2 linked regions of the Schizosaccharomyces pombe genome follow. The gene in region 1 interacts genetically with each later gene. Each region holds a gene or a part of one and is shown in the gene's direction. Other genes may lie near its edges.

Region 1 (7,844 bases):
GCGCACAAATCCACTTTTTAAAGAGCAATTTTATGGATCAGGACTTATGTTTGTTGGCCGTGACAATGTTGAGTATCGGGACATGAGTCTGGAAAACCTGACAAAAATGGGTGTGTCAGCAGCAAAGTTTCAAACTACAGAAGAATTGCGGAAACTTTTTCCAAAATGGATTGGCGAGCTGAATGATGGAGAAGCTGGGTATGCCAATTTTAGTTCTGGATGGGCCAACGCTGAGCAGTCTGTGAAATCCGTAGTTAATTACTTAGCACATGCCGGTGTTTCTTTCATTAGCGGACCTGAGGGAACTGTTGAAGAGCTTATAACAGAAGAAAACGTTGTTAAAGGCGTGAGGACTACTACTGGAGCTTACATGGCCGAAAAACTTATTTTTGCTACAGGTGCATGGACTGCATCTCTTTTACCTAATGACCACACACGATTCTTGGCAACCGGTCAACCAGTCGCATACATAAAATTGACTCCTGAGGAGTACATCCGCTTTTTGACAAATCCTGTATACTTAGATTTTGATACTGGATTTTATATTTTTCCCCCTACCCCCGATGGTTATCTAAAATTTGCACGCCATGGATACGGATTTACGAGAATGCAAAATCTTAAATCCGGAAAAGTCGAATCTGTTCCACCAAAGAAACCTCTCGTTTCTCCTATCCTGCCCAAGGAAGCGGAATTAGATTTACGCAGAAACCTTCAACGTACTTATGGCGAAGAAATTAGTCAAAGGCCATTTTACAAAACCCGTATTTGTTATTATACCGACACAGCCGATGCCGAGTTTGTATTTGATTATCATCCAGATTATGAAAATCTGTTTGTATGCACAGGTGGTTCAGGCCATGGATTCAAATTCTTTCCAATCCTCGGGAAGTATAGCATAGGGTGTATGTTTCGTGAGTTAGAGGAGCCCTTATTGAAGAAGTGGAGATGGAAGAAAGAAAATTTGGAGTTTGCTGCTTTAGACCACAGCCGAGCTGGACCCTCTCGACAAGAGCTAAGCTAAGATGTGCAATGCTAAACAAAAGAAAGGCTAGCGTCTATCTTTCTAGGCTACCTTATTTTTGTGTTGAATACTAATTGATTCTTCTTCATTCGAAATATTACGAGCATTGAATGTATACACATTAACAATTAACATCAACTTTATAACATCCAGACGATTATGTCGGTTTACTGTTTTCGAATAAAAACAGGGACATTTTCTATACCCTTTACATCGAACTTTATGTCCTGAATTAATATTACAAAGCATGCTAAGTAAAACCTTTTTTTCAATTATTTTAGATATGCATCATATAGCTAACTCGTTGGCTTTAAGAGAACTAAAGCGTCACAGCTTACTGAGGTTGTTTTTGATACTTAGATGCAATTCAAACATTTATAAATAATTAAATTTGACAATCTAATTAGAAATAACATAAAAAAAAAAATCAAAATAGAATAAAATGATCAAGAAGCTTTTTGTTTAAATGCAAATACCGTACTCGCTTTTATTCGTTGTATCGGTTAAACGACGTTTTACTGTTACGTTATCTGCCAATCTCGGATTTACGTAGCATCAAGTACGCATATCTTACCGCAATATTTAGAGGCGACTTAGTTTGTTAATATATTATATTTTTACACTAGTTATTGGAATGTTAACATTTTGAAGAGCAAGATCGTTTTATTTTCAAAAAGATTTTGCTGGATTCGTTGTTACGATTGACGTTCTAATCAACCCAACTTGAGTGTATGTTCATCAGGATCGGTATTTCCGTTTTCACTAGCGTTTTAGCCAGTATCCTGAATTTTTACCAGTTATAAATTGTATGAGGTTGAGAGTTTCTTATCCCTTTGCAACGTGTTTGTTTTTATCATTAGGAGTAGCGGTTTTTGAGACCTGAAAAGTGTGTTTGCTGTTTTTGCACATTTGTTCAAGTTCATGAGAGCTAACTACATTGTTTCAATATGTTACACATGAATAGTGCCAGTAGTGCTGACAGCATGGAAATTATGGAAAGTCATTTTGACCCGACACAACAGAATGATAGCACTATAATAGAAAGTCGTTACTCTCCGGAAGAATATCTGGAGCAGTCATTCGAGATACAAAGGATTATATCAGGAGAAAATAGTGAACCCCAAACTGTAGCGTCGCAAGAAATTAGCGATTCTCAAGAAGAAGACACTACATTAACATCGTCTCAATTTGAGGATTGTGGGACTGAATATAATGAAGTAGTGGAAGATGATGAGTTTCGCTCTGAAGATGAGGATGATTTTATGGACGAAGAGGAAGAATACGCTTTATATGAGGCAGAATTGAGTTCTTCCCCATCTATTCACGAAGAGGTTATTGATTGCAACTTTGTTCATGCCATTCGAGGCTTCGAAGCTACTGTTGAAGGACAAGTTGATGCTACTAAAGGAGACATGATGATTTTATTAGATGATTCTAATAGTTATTGGTGGCTTGTAAAAATGTGCAAAAATTTGGCTATAGGCTATTTACCTGCTGAATACATTGAAACTCCTTCAGAGCGTTTGGCTCGATTAAATAAATATAAAAATTCGGAAACGTCCAATTCTCAGCAGTCTGTGACTCTCCCGCCTTTAGATATTGTGGAAAAAACCTTGGAGGCTCCATCCCCAAATTTTCGTATAAAACGCGTTACCTTTACTTGTTCTTCTAATTCTTCCGATGATGAAATGGATTCTGAAAATGATTATGAGGCAATGGTAAACCGAACTGTCGCAGAGAATGGTCTTGAAATAGAATTTTCGGACAGTAGTGATTCTTCTCTCTCTGCTGAGTACCGTTCCGAATCCGAGGATCATGTAACTGATAGTCCTGCTTACGTGGATCTTACTGAACTGGAAGGTGGGTTTAACCAGTTTAACTCTACTTCTTTTCAAAGTACATCCCCCCTTGGTCTTGAGATTGTTGAAACAGAAATTAATGGCTCTTCCACTACTGCAGATTCGAAAAATTCACATTCCCCCTACTCTAAATTCTCATCAGCTTACCCAGATGCTGAAAATTCGAATATTAGTAAAATAAATATCTCAATAGCAGGAAACAAGGAATTATATGGCAATGCCACCCAGTCTGATCCTTCACTTTACAGTACTTGGATAGCAAATAAGCATAAAACTGCTTCATCTGCAACCGTTGATTCTCCATTGCGAAGATCACTATCAGTTGACGCAATGCAATCGAATGCTTCATTTTCTTCTTATTCGTCTACATCTAATACTGATAAATCATTGCGGCCTTCTTCTTATTCCGCCGTATCGGAATCCTCTAACTTTACTCATGATGTATCTCGTGATAACAAGGAAATCTCATTGAATGCACCAAAATCAATTATAGTTTCTCAGAGTGACTCTTTTGACACATCTAATGTTACTCAGGATGCCCCAAACGATGTAGAAAAGGAACCAATTTCTGGTCAAATGCCCAATAATTTATCAGTTCAATCCTTAAAACAATTAGAAGTGTACCCTATTCGACATTCGGTATCGATTGAAATGCCATCTGAAAAGCTTCTTTCCCCTCGATTATACTCTTCATCTACTCCATCCTCTCCAACAAAAGGATTCCAAAAGGATGACGAAGAAGACAGCGAAAACCGAAAGCAAGCAGATAAGGTTGAATTATCACCAAGTTCGCTTCTTCGTCAGATGTCTTTACCTGTTGATTCTTCCTCGCAAAGTGATGCACAGTGCACAACGTCTTCTGTATACATAACAGCGGAGCGTAAAGCATTTTCTCAATCTTCAATAGATTTATCAACATTGAGTAACCATCATGTAAATAACGAAATAAACAGAAGAAGTTTTGCGGGTGGATTTACAAGTTTAGCAGATGAATTAAGCGAAATGCGTGAGCTACTACACGAATCCCCGGCTCCATTGGAGTGTAATGAGGAAATGGTTATACCTACACCTGAGTTAGATGCTTCAAGTGCAATCCCGAGCTCTTCGATTTCACACGATGAGGATTTGCTACCAAGAAAGAACACAGAGGAATCTACCTCTTCTAGTTCCTTTTCCTCTCTTATCACTTCTCCTGCTTCTTTGCAATATGATGAAAATCCATTCAAGCAATCTGTGGTTGCGGAATTAAATAATAACTCCTCTTCGGTGCCATTCGTTGATTCGGCTCATGCTTCTGATATCCATGCGTACGATAACGACCACGTTAGTACTAAAAACAAAGAATTTAATCGTCGGTTGAGAGAGTTTATATTGGATCCAGACTCTCTTAGCGGGCTATATTGGAGTGTAAAATCAGCGGGAGTAAGGGCATCCCGCCGAGTTTCTCGTAATATCGAGGGTGAATCGGTGTCCTCGGACTTGGATGATATTTTTGCTAACGTATTGAAGGGTTTATCAGATGAGATGGCCTCCCTCTTAAATACGAATCGCTGAAATCTTTGATTAATTTAAAAGTTATACCATGTTTTTCCCCTTTATCAAACTATTTACACTCGTTATAAATCAGTTTTCTGTTTGATTAAACTGTTTCAAAAATTTGTTTGTTAATGTCTTTATGTTTGACTTTTTTTTCTTGTTAATAATATTTTTTAATAACTAACAGCATACCATAGTTGTATAAAGGTCTAAAATTCAATGTGCGGGTATGATTCGGATTATTGAGCGCTATAAAATAAATGTGTTTAAGTAAAATCTACCGAAGTATTAAATGAGCTAGTAATTATCTTATATGCCATTTCAAATTATAGTATCGCTGCATCATATTTTTTGTACAGTAATGCGAGCAGTGAAAATGTAAACTACTCAAGCAGATAGTAGTAGGCTTTGAGGGTATGATAGATTTTATGCATCCGTAAAAATAAGCCAGTGTACTTTACTTATGTGGCATGATGAATCAAATTCAATAGGGTATTAAAAAACAAAATTAGCACGATTTATAGCGATTCTTATTAAAAAATATTTCTCTTCTCTTTTAAACGAAAAAAATGAGATATTAACAAACGATGAACATGTTCATTAATCATTAATATGAGAATATCATCTGCTTCTACTTTTAAGGTATCGGATTCATCATCAAACCAACGGTGTATTTAAATGTATATTTTGTAAGCGATAGGCATATTGATTGTCTCATAATAAATAATTTATGTTTTTTCACTGGTAATTTTCACGCTAAATTAGATGATAATTAGCATCTTGACTACCAATTTCTCACCATCATCATAATTGAAGGGCGAAATTTTCAAATTTGACTTTTAATATTCTTTTAGTAATTGCACGAAGATATGTAAAGGAACATGGAAAAGTAAGAATGAACAATAAAATTTTTATTCCTTTACAAATTTACGACTTGTTATTAATTGGAAAGACAAAGCAATGTTATTTCTGTAACGAATTGAGTTTGTAGGAAGAAACAAAGTTCCTAAAAAGTATGCAAATATCTTCAATATGCGCTAAATAAAGAAAACAGTTCGTACAGTAAACAAAGTCAATAATTCGAAGCGACTAAATAACGAAAAATTTAGAATGAGACGGATATGAAATGCATTTTGAATTGACCCGTTTTCATTTGTACAACCACCATACATGATTATTCTCAACATTGTTTTTTATGAATGCGAAATAAGAAGTATTAGTTTAAAACATCAAGTAATTTTTTAACACGCCACCACGAGTGGACAATGTGAAGTTTACAACTTGTGCTAATTTTTTTGACTACTCAAAAAATTAAATATGCAGCACAAAACGAGAACTGAATTATATGCAAACCCTTATACACTGAGCCTTAAAATTCATGATTTTTTACTTGCAACAGAAAGTAATAAGTAGCTTAAAAAATTAGAGGAAATCTGTTAATCGTTACAGTGGATTCTCACATTAGACAATAACTACATTATTACGATAACAAATCATCGTTCTAAATCACAATATTTTATTATGCTGTTCATTATTTTGTAAACATTAATTTTGTTTGTATTAAAGTAAACCACTAAACCAAAGGAAAAAAATGATAATTAAGTTTGATTCATTAAGAATCAAGATGAAGAAGAAATGAATGCAATAAACGACAATGAAATTGTGAATTTAACAAGGCGAAACAACGAGTTTTTCGATTTCATTAGTTGATGATAACAGTCAATTAGTGAACTGCTATTTTAAAACGAATAAATAAAACCATTATTATAATATTCAATGCCCAGTGTATGTTATTCACGGAACCTTTCAAGCAATGCACTTGCTCATCCAATTCGTCAGGAAATGAAATATGCAATAAAAATACATGTGACATACTTTAAACAGATTTATGATTTGTTTGAGTAAATCACAATCATAAAGGCGCTTCTTTATTGCACATTCTTATGAAGAAAAGAAGCCTCGTGTAAAAAGCGACTTTATCATACAATTAGTAAAGTTAACAATATAATTAGGCTTCACTTTCGGGGTTCATCTCACGCAATGGAACAGCTGTGTATTCATTCACTTGCTGTTTGGCCTCATAACCTAATGATAATTAGCATACACAATTAAAAAGATATCATATTAAATTTACCCATCTTTCTGATCAAGTGTTGGATATGCCAACTGTAAACAATGATCACATCCAAGTTATTTTACAGCACTGGCAAGTTTCAACTTTCAATTGAGTAATTCCTTTCTTATTATTTACAATTCTTACCTGAATATGGAGGCAATGTACTTTCCTCCTCTGAATCATATTCTGGGAGGGGTCCTTTTTCCAAATCGATTTCATGATCTGTCTTCAATTCATCTTCTTCATCTAGAGGACTTTTCAAAGAAGTGTAATTATTCTTCATAATAATAAAATCATTCTTTATTTAATAAAATACATGCGCGAATTAATTGCTATGATTGCGACAAACCAAACAGCGAAATCAAGAATATTCACTTTGTAGTCCAATTCCAATCGCTTTAAAGACTTTTTAACAAAATAATAAAATCGTTCAAACAAATTTCCAACTAATTCCTTCAAACAATGGCATAAAAAAAGAAGAACGAAAAAACTGAACGAGGCAGTGAATTACTTCTGACACATTTATTTTGTCACTGCCCTTTTTATTCACCCCAACTTAGTTTTCCTTATACAGCATACTGTTAAAATTGGTTCGCTACGTTGCGTGTCACTAATTTCATATTTGTAAAATCATGTTTTTTAATATAGACATCAGTTAAGAACAAAGACTTAGAAGATTATAAATGGAATTAGTCGCTGCATCTCATTCCTCAGTTCAATTATTAGCTAAATCGGTGACTGATACTGTTAGGCGTCTTATAACAATAAATATAATATTGTCAGTTAACATAACGCACAACGCTATATGATTTATGTATCGCTAAAACAGATATCAAACGTCGTCGATGTCAACAGTATACGGTATACTTGAAATTTCGTTCCTACGTCTTATTTATGATGATACAAATGTAAATTTTTGAATTGTTGTGCTCAAGGATATAATAGAAATTTCTTTTTTAAAGCTTTATATGTAGAAAGATGATGTCTTTATTTTCTCATATTCATCTACTAATATGTTGCTCCCATTTTTTTTCATTATTCGTACTAAGGTGTTATGCAAACAGTATATGGTTGCAACGCATATGTATTAATTTTTAAGGAAGTTGCTCTTTGCATGAAATTTCCAATCTTTAGGGATCAAGTTCAATTATATAAACGCAAAATTCAACTTTAAATGATATGGAGAAGAGTGCAAGGCAATTATCAGTAGCCGAACAGAATGGTGAATCGGGAAGATTAAATAATGGATATACTTCAAACAATATTCAGCAGTATAAAGATGAAACTAATCGTCATCAGTTCGAGTATAACC
Region 2 (6,920 bases), on another chromosome or scaffold:
ATCGTCTTAGCTCGCAATTCTAACTTATCAACTCCTTTGCTCATTTTGAAACTGGAGACTTGGCTTTTCCTTACATAAATCGCATAGAACGTGAATTGCTTAGGAGTTCGAGCTTTTTATTTACTTCCATTCTATAGTGGAACATTTGGCATAGAATTTTTATTTTTGGAATCACGACTGTGGAGTTTTCGTCATACCAGTTCTGTCATCTTGAAATTCCAAGTTGGAACTTCCATCAATAGATTACATTTCTAAGTTTCTTGCTTTCATTCCTCAATTTTTTATTTAGAAGCGAAGCAAAAAATAAATTTAATCTTCCTACGTTCATATCCGCTTCTTTTTCAATTTCTTTGATACTGTTCGCGATACGTAGCTGCTGATTTTACGTTATTTTTTTGTTTTATCTTTTTCTTTATATATTTATCTTTTTTGTTATATATTCACTTAGTTGCTTTAATTGCTGGTTATTTAAAGATGATTGCTGCAACACCCGCTAAATCCAAACCATCGGATGTCAACTTGGAACAGACGTTCAAAGGTGTTTCTGAAACCTCAAAAATTGACCTTCGAAGGTCTAGGGCCGCTTACCGACCTCTGGAATTATCTCCTACTCCCTCGATTTTTGCTCGTAATTATCAACGTAATGCGGTAGACTTTACTGGATTTTTTGTGTTATTTTGGGTTGCTGTCTCTATTATGATTTTCATGAGCTTTTTAGAAAATTTCGAATTGACTGGAAGACCAGTTGTTGGCACTATTTTTAAATACTTTCAGTCTAATTTGTTAGATCTGGCAAAGGCAGACCTTGCTATGTCTTCAATGTTTCTACTTGCTTTTCCTTTCCAAAAGATTTTTGCTTTGGGATATCTGCGGTGGTATGGTTTAGGCGTTTACCTCTATTCCATTCTTATTTTACTTTTTTTAAGCCATTGTGTTTTACGCTGCTGTCTTAGCAACTGGTCCTGGACGCATCGTGCTATGTTTATTCTTCATTCTATGGTAATCCTTATGAAGCTTCATTCCTATAACGTTGTCAACGGTTGGTATTCTTATTGTTATCATTCGTTAAATAAGCTTCAGTCAAAAAAAACCGATCTTGATGATGATGAACGATCCTCAGTTGAGTTTTATGAACATTGTCTCAACCATCATGGTAATACTTATCCGGAAAATTTAACCATACCAAATGCTTTGGATTTCCTTTTCATGCCCAGCTTATGTTATCAATTATACTACCCAAGAACCGCCCATGTGCGAATTCATTATTTGATTGAATGCGCTTTGGGAACGTTTGGTTGTATCTTTCTTTTGGTCATTATTTCTGATCATTTCATGGTTCCTGTACTTGCTAAAGCCATTCGAACCATTATTGAAGCTCCTGAAGACGCATCTGCTACTTATTTTGCTATACGTTTAGGCCATACTGTAGCATTTTTGATGTTCCCATTTATGCTTAGCTTCCTCCTCGTGTTCTGGGTCATTTTTGAAGGAGTTTGTAATTTCAGCGCAGAGATTACTAGATTTGCCGATAGAAACTTTTATGATGATTGGTGGAATTGCTGGACTTGGGATCAATTTGCCCGAACCTGGAATAAGCCCGTTCATTACTTTCTCCTTCGCCACGTTTATGTTCCCCTCAACTCTTTCATGTCAAAGTCTTTATCGACTTTTTTCACGTTCTTTGTCTCCTCTGTATTACATGAACTTGTTATGGGATGTATCACTTTAAAAATCCGCGGTTACGGTTTGTTTTTTCAAATGACTCAAATCCCGTATATCATTATTCAGCGACAGAAGTTTGTTCGAAGACATAGACTGCTGGGAAATATTGCGTTTTGGTTTTCTATCATAATTGGTATCGCTCTTATTGCAGCTCTTTATATCTTATTTTAGAAGCGATAGGGGTCTCCATTATGAATAATTACCTCTTAGATTTTTTTTACAATGCGTTATTTTTTCTAGTGACTATTTCTATCTTTGACACTTTTTGTGGCTCATTTCATCTGCCCAATAAGGGCTCCTTTATGACATTTTATGAATTGTTTTGTAATGCAAGTAGGAAATGCCATTTCTATTTGAACACGTCAAAAGGCTGCAGAGTAATTTTGGTAAAACTTAGTTTTTGTGCCTCTGTGGAACTTCCGTTTCATTTTGTGTCGGTTCATTTGCTTGTTTATGATAAAATGGAATCCTGATTAAATTAACGAATTAAAGAAATGGGTTTAAAACATTTTTTTCGTTGAAAATTATGTTAACCGATTTGTTGTTTACTTAAGATTTTTAACATTCACAGATGTTCGTTTAATTTTTAGCCAGATGATTGCTTTGATTAATAAGTTTCCTCATCTCGTATTTTCATTAACATAACCATCACTGTTATTAATCGAATTAATGTGTCTAATCGTCAGTGGTTAGGATATTCGATTTATTCAGTTTTCCCATTCTTAATAAATGTACTTTTCTGTCTTGCACAATAAAATTATTATAGCAAGAAACCTAGATAACGCAACCCAATGTGCAATAGCACTGTACAGTAAATTGCCTATAAGCAGGGGTAGATATTTTTACCACTGGAATCCCAACTCACCAAGAACCCATATCTTGTAGTTCGAAGTTTGATTCGGAAAAACCTCTTGTGTATTTCAAGGTGCTCTTTCTCAAAACGAAATCGCAAGGGTATCGTTTGGGTGCAATACGGGATGATGGTAATAGAGAACCCTTTTTTAAGTACTGCTACAAGCAGTCAGACACCTCAAGAGGATGGCGTGTACACGTCTTCCCTGCACAACAGTAACAATCCTTTTTTAGCTCCCAAGACAGAGCGTGTGGCTGATCCGGTCATGGAATCTATGGCAGATGACTTGGTATGTAAATTTTTGAGGCTGAAGTAGATATAATTCGGTCATTGCTTCGTTACGTGAAGATTTGTTAAATTTATTGAAACCTTTCCAAATTAGTGTTCTATTAAGAGTTTTTAAGTTTCTAATTTAAAGCGCTCATAACGTACATTTTATTTAGACAAGGAGTTTCTTCGGTTTGCAATGAAGTTGAGCCGAAAATCGAGCACAGCTTTCAATTTTAATATGTTTCAAAAACTAACATTTTACCAGTTTAATAGTATTCAAAAGAAGAAGGAGCCATCTCCTGCTTCCTCTGCTTCAGCAAGTCCCGTTAAAAAATCTGCGGAGGCATTAGCCGAACGATCTAACAGTTCGATGGGCACTTTTGACCCCCCTCCAAGATATTCGAAAATTGCTAGAGCTCGTAGTACTCATGTTGCCAGCTCTAGTCGCCATCGTTCTCCATCGCATAACGACAGTTCACCATCCACCCAATCCAGTTTGAAAAGCAGGGGTAGCATTCGACGCTACAAGTCTGTACGAGAGGGATCACATCGTCCTGGTCGGTCGTCAAAAGAACCATTAGATCAGATAGATCGTTTGGACGTAACAGGGCTTTATGGATCTGGTAGCTTTCATCACGATGGTCCTTTTGATGCTTGTCGACCTCATCGTAATCGAAATTCTAAGAAAGCACCTGTTGCCGCATTTCCAAAAGATAGTATTGCTAATTCCATTCCGAAAGTTGGGGAAACTTATAATGACCCTTCAGTCCCTAAGGATTTTAGCAGAAAAGCCATTCATGAGAGTTTGCGTACAAAAAACATATTGCAATCTCCTTATAAATCTGTTGGCATCGAAGAAGAATTTCCTTCATCTGGCAATAATGATACTCCAGGTTTAACTGACTCTACCCGTATAGAAGGTGCGATGGCTTCAAAAAATGCAATTGCACGTAATGAAGAAATGTTGGCAATGGAAAAAGCGGGCTTGGGAAGAAAAAATTCTCTCATTCGAAAACTTGGATTAAATCGTAGCGCTAGTATGATGTCTCGTACACCAAATACTTTGAATAGGCCATCTAATTATCGGTCTCACTCTTCCATGGGAACCCGAAGATCTCCACTTAATTCCCCTTCTCAACTTGACCCCATTTCTAACGAGAACGAATCTGATACTGATGACAGTAACACTGGCCTTCGTAATCGTACATCTCCTACAGCTGCTCCACCGCCACCTTCTCGTAGGAAAACAGGTGGACTTAATACACGACCTTATCCCCAACACGCTGAATCTCAAATGTCTCTTCCGCTTACTGCGAAAGAGCGTTCCAAACCCAAGAAAATGGGATTTTTTAGACGATTATTCCACAAAAAGTCGTAGGCTTTTCAGGCTTGAAACTTTATTTACTATAATAGCATCTTTGAGTATCATCTTTCTCTATTCCCCTTTTTATTTGTTTACCAATTTCTCAACATCTAATACGTCTGTACCCCTGCTTTTAAATATTGAATCAGCTTAGTTCAATTCTTCGTCCAGTTTGTTGGAAGTTTCTGCTTTAATCTTCCGCATACTTATTATTACCATTCTTTGTTTTTGTCCTAATATTTCGCATCTTGTCCTTTTCTCTTTTGCTTCTTCTCGACATTCACTAGTTCGTCTGAAGTCTACATTTTTCATGCCTACTTGTTCTGCATAACTTTAACAAATCCAGATGCTTTTCTTTTACATTTTCCTTCTTTCGAAATTTTTTCACCTGGTGATATTTTGATTGCTCTCTACTTTAAGTAATTTAATCATGATCTCTATTTTTTCTACAATGCAGTCTTCGTTCATTTACAATCTAGTTTCACTAAGTGAATTGGCAGTAGATATATAGAAGCGTACTCTGCATGTTATAGGTAGCTGATGTTAGTTCCAGGAATGTAAAATCGTTATAGGAATTTGTATTGATAAAATTCTATCTTGTTAGCGTGTGAACTTAAACAATGATTGGATTACATACCTTGGTTTAAAAAATGCTGAGAAACAAACTTCAAGGGTATAATCAATTTTCAGCTGATCTTTTAAATTAACAGAACGGCAAAATTCAGGTATTTTGATTTGTGCGTGGATTGTGTTTTTTAGAGTCGGTGCCAAATTGGAATAAACAGATTTATTAGCAATTTTCCAAGTTGATTTTGCCCTTGTTTTCGTCTTAGTTTTTTGATAACGCTTCAAGTATCCGCAACTCGCGAATGTTTCTTCGGCCTGGTTCATACAATAACCACCGTAATGATTTTGAGTATTAGGGTGAAAGATATGAGTTTCCAGCAATCGTGCTTTTATATTATGAATCTTTTGAGAGTTAGCGATTAACTGTTATCTTTAGTTTAATTAATTTACTAGACTTTACCCTTCTGTGATGATTATGAGTGTAGCAAATGGTAAAATCGATGATTTGACCACTAAAAAACAAGGATCTGTCCGTATGAACCTCCAAGGTAGTTTTTGCTTCTTCTAATGAAAGATAGGGTAGGCTTTTAATGCATGAGATCGGGTTATATAGCTCCGCTATATTATTATGCATTGAAGTGATTACCCGTTTAGGAATTGTACAACGAGTACAGCGAATATTTTGATCCAGAGATGTTAAAGTCAGCGTACTAAGATGTCAGTTACTTTTTTCGGTTTAATCTTTTACCTTGAAATATAGTATAACAGTTCTAATTTCGATGAATGATAAGTACCTGGACCTATATCCAAAGGAACGATGAAGGAGAAAGGAAACCCAACTTTACAAGAACATTTAAGGAAAAGGCCCTTGTTGCCTATGCTGGCAGAAGCTGCCTTTGAGAGAATCAGTGCAGATGTCTTAAGGTTGCAAAACGAGTACTTTTCAGAGATAGAATAGAAAGGTTCTGAATGGCCTTTAAAATTCAAAATACCATAGAAATCGAGAAACATTTCCTTTATCCAAACACCGGTTTCCACGTTTTTTGCCCCTTCGTAGGATAACCAAATGTTGCCATGTAACAAGGATCCAGCTATTAAGGAAGTATCAGGAATCGTTATTGCTACTTTTATACCATCACAATTTAAAACTTGGTTTTCAAAGATTTTTTTTACTTGTAAATTAGATTTTCGAACTGGTGCATCAGCTTCAGGATAAAAAGACGATTTCCTATTCAGAATATTCGGTCGTAACACATCAGTTTTGATGGTTAATATTTCTGACTCTTCACTTAATATATAGGGATCATCAAAAGGATTTTCTATACTTGACAATGTTTTAGATGTCAATGGATCCGACAAACTGCAAGTTTCACTGTTACTAAAAAGTTCTTCTGTCATTAGCACGATATTAGGTTGTTATCAAAATGAATGTATATTTTTATTTATTGGAAATAGTTGTTGGAGAAATCTTAAACTGATATTTGCCAATGAGGTTGTTTACTCGTCAACATCATACTCGATGGTAAACATTCCAAAACAAAACGGTAACTTAGTTGGTAAAAAAACAAGCGCAAAAAGAAATATACAAAGAAATTGTAATAAAATTTTGTAAAATATAGATACTTAATGTCCACATTATTTGACTTATCCGTAAGGTCATTTGAAGATCATGATAAAAATATTACTTTTTCGTTTGCTGAACGTCGGTGTAACGGCCATAGCCTTCAACCTTCGGTTTTTCGTAATCAGTCTTGGTCATAAGCATATTCATTCTTTCTTTTATACTCATAGGTTTTTCGGGAATTACATCGCCCTGCTCAGCGTTTGGATTCGTATGCTCTTTTTCGGGTTTAGAGACACGTCGTGCATTCACAGCAATAGACATACTGGCACGTCTTCCCACCACACCTCGTTCTGTGGCCATATTGGTTGGAGGTACACTTTTGCTTTCTACCTCGCCTAGCCCAACTGGAGCATTGGAACTTTGAAGACTAGAGGGTGTAGGCGCAGATATATTGTTTTGTGGGTTTTCCACAGATTTTAAGTTTACAGGTTTTGGGACAGGAGCGGGAGCAGCAGCTACCTTGTTTAAACTTGATGTATGGTTGTACCTATCAACCAAACGGTTAACACTAGTCCTTGGCT

Evidence for each region.
Region 2: mutations in tea4 (region 1) and pal1 are lethal when combined (synthetic lethality), as found in Schizosaccharomyces pombe (one study listed by BioGRID).

Annotation. Positions count from the first base shown.
Region 1 is NC_003423.3:586,761-594,604, forward strand, and holds tea4 (tip elongation aberrant protein Tea4), read left to right. Parts: upstream 1-1,598; 5' UTR 1,599-1,968; coding exon 1,969-4,434; 3' UTR 4,435-4,674; downstream 4,675-7,844. Other genes in the region: fap1 (L-pipecolate oxidase), read left to right, coding at 1-1,021; dynamin-like GTPase fzo1, read left to right, coding at 7,712-7,844. UniProt on the Schizosaccharomyces pombe protein: Cell polarity factor essential for the bipolar localization and function of structures containing the cell-end marker tea1 during the normal cell cycle.
Region 2 is NC_003421.2:2,393,928-2,400,847, reverse strand, and holds pal1 (protein Pal1), read left to right. Parts: upstream 1-2,588; 5' UTR 2,589-2,699; coding exon 2,700-2,864; intron 2,865-3,110; coding exon 3,111-4,223; 3' UTR 4,224-4,652; downstream 4,653-6,920. Other genes in the region: acyl-coA-sterol acyltransferase Are2, read left to right, coding at 475-1,893; arrestin family membrane adaptor Mug170, read right to left, coding at 4,752-4,800, 4,846-5,177, 5,236-5,485, 5,524-6,173; Ark1/Prk1 family protein kinase Ppk38, read right to left, coding at 6,457-6,920. UniProt on the Schizosaccharomyces pombe protein: Involved in cellular morphogenesis and cell wall integrity. Important for the maintenance of a cylindrical cell shape.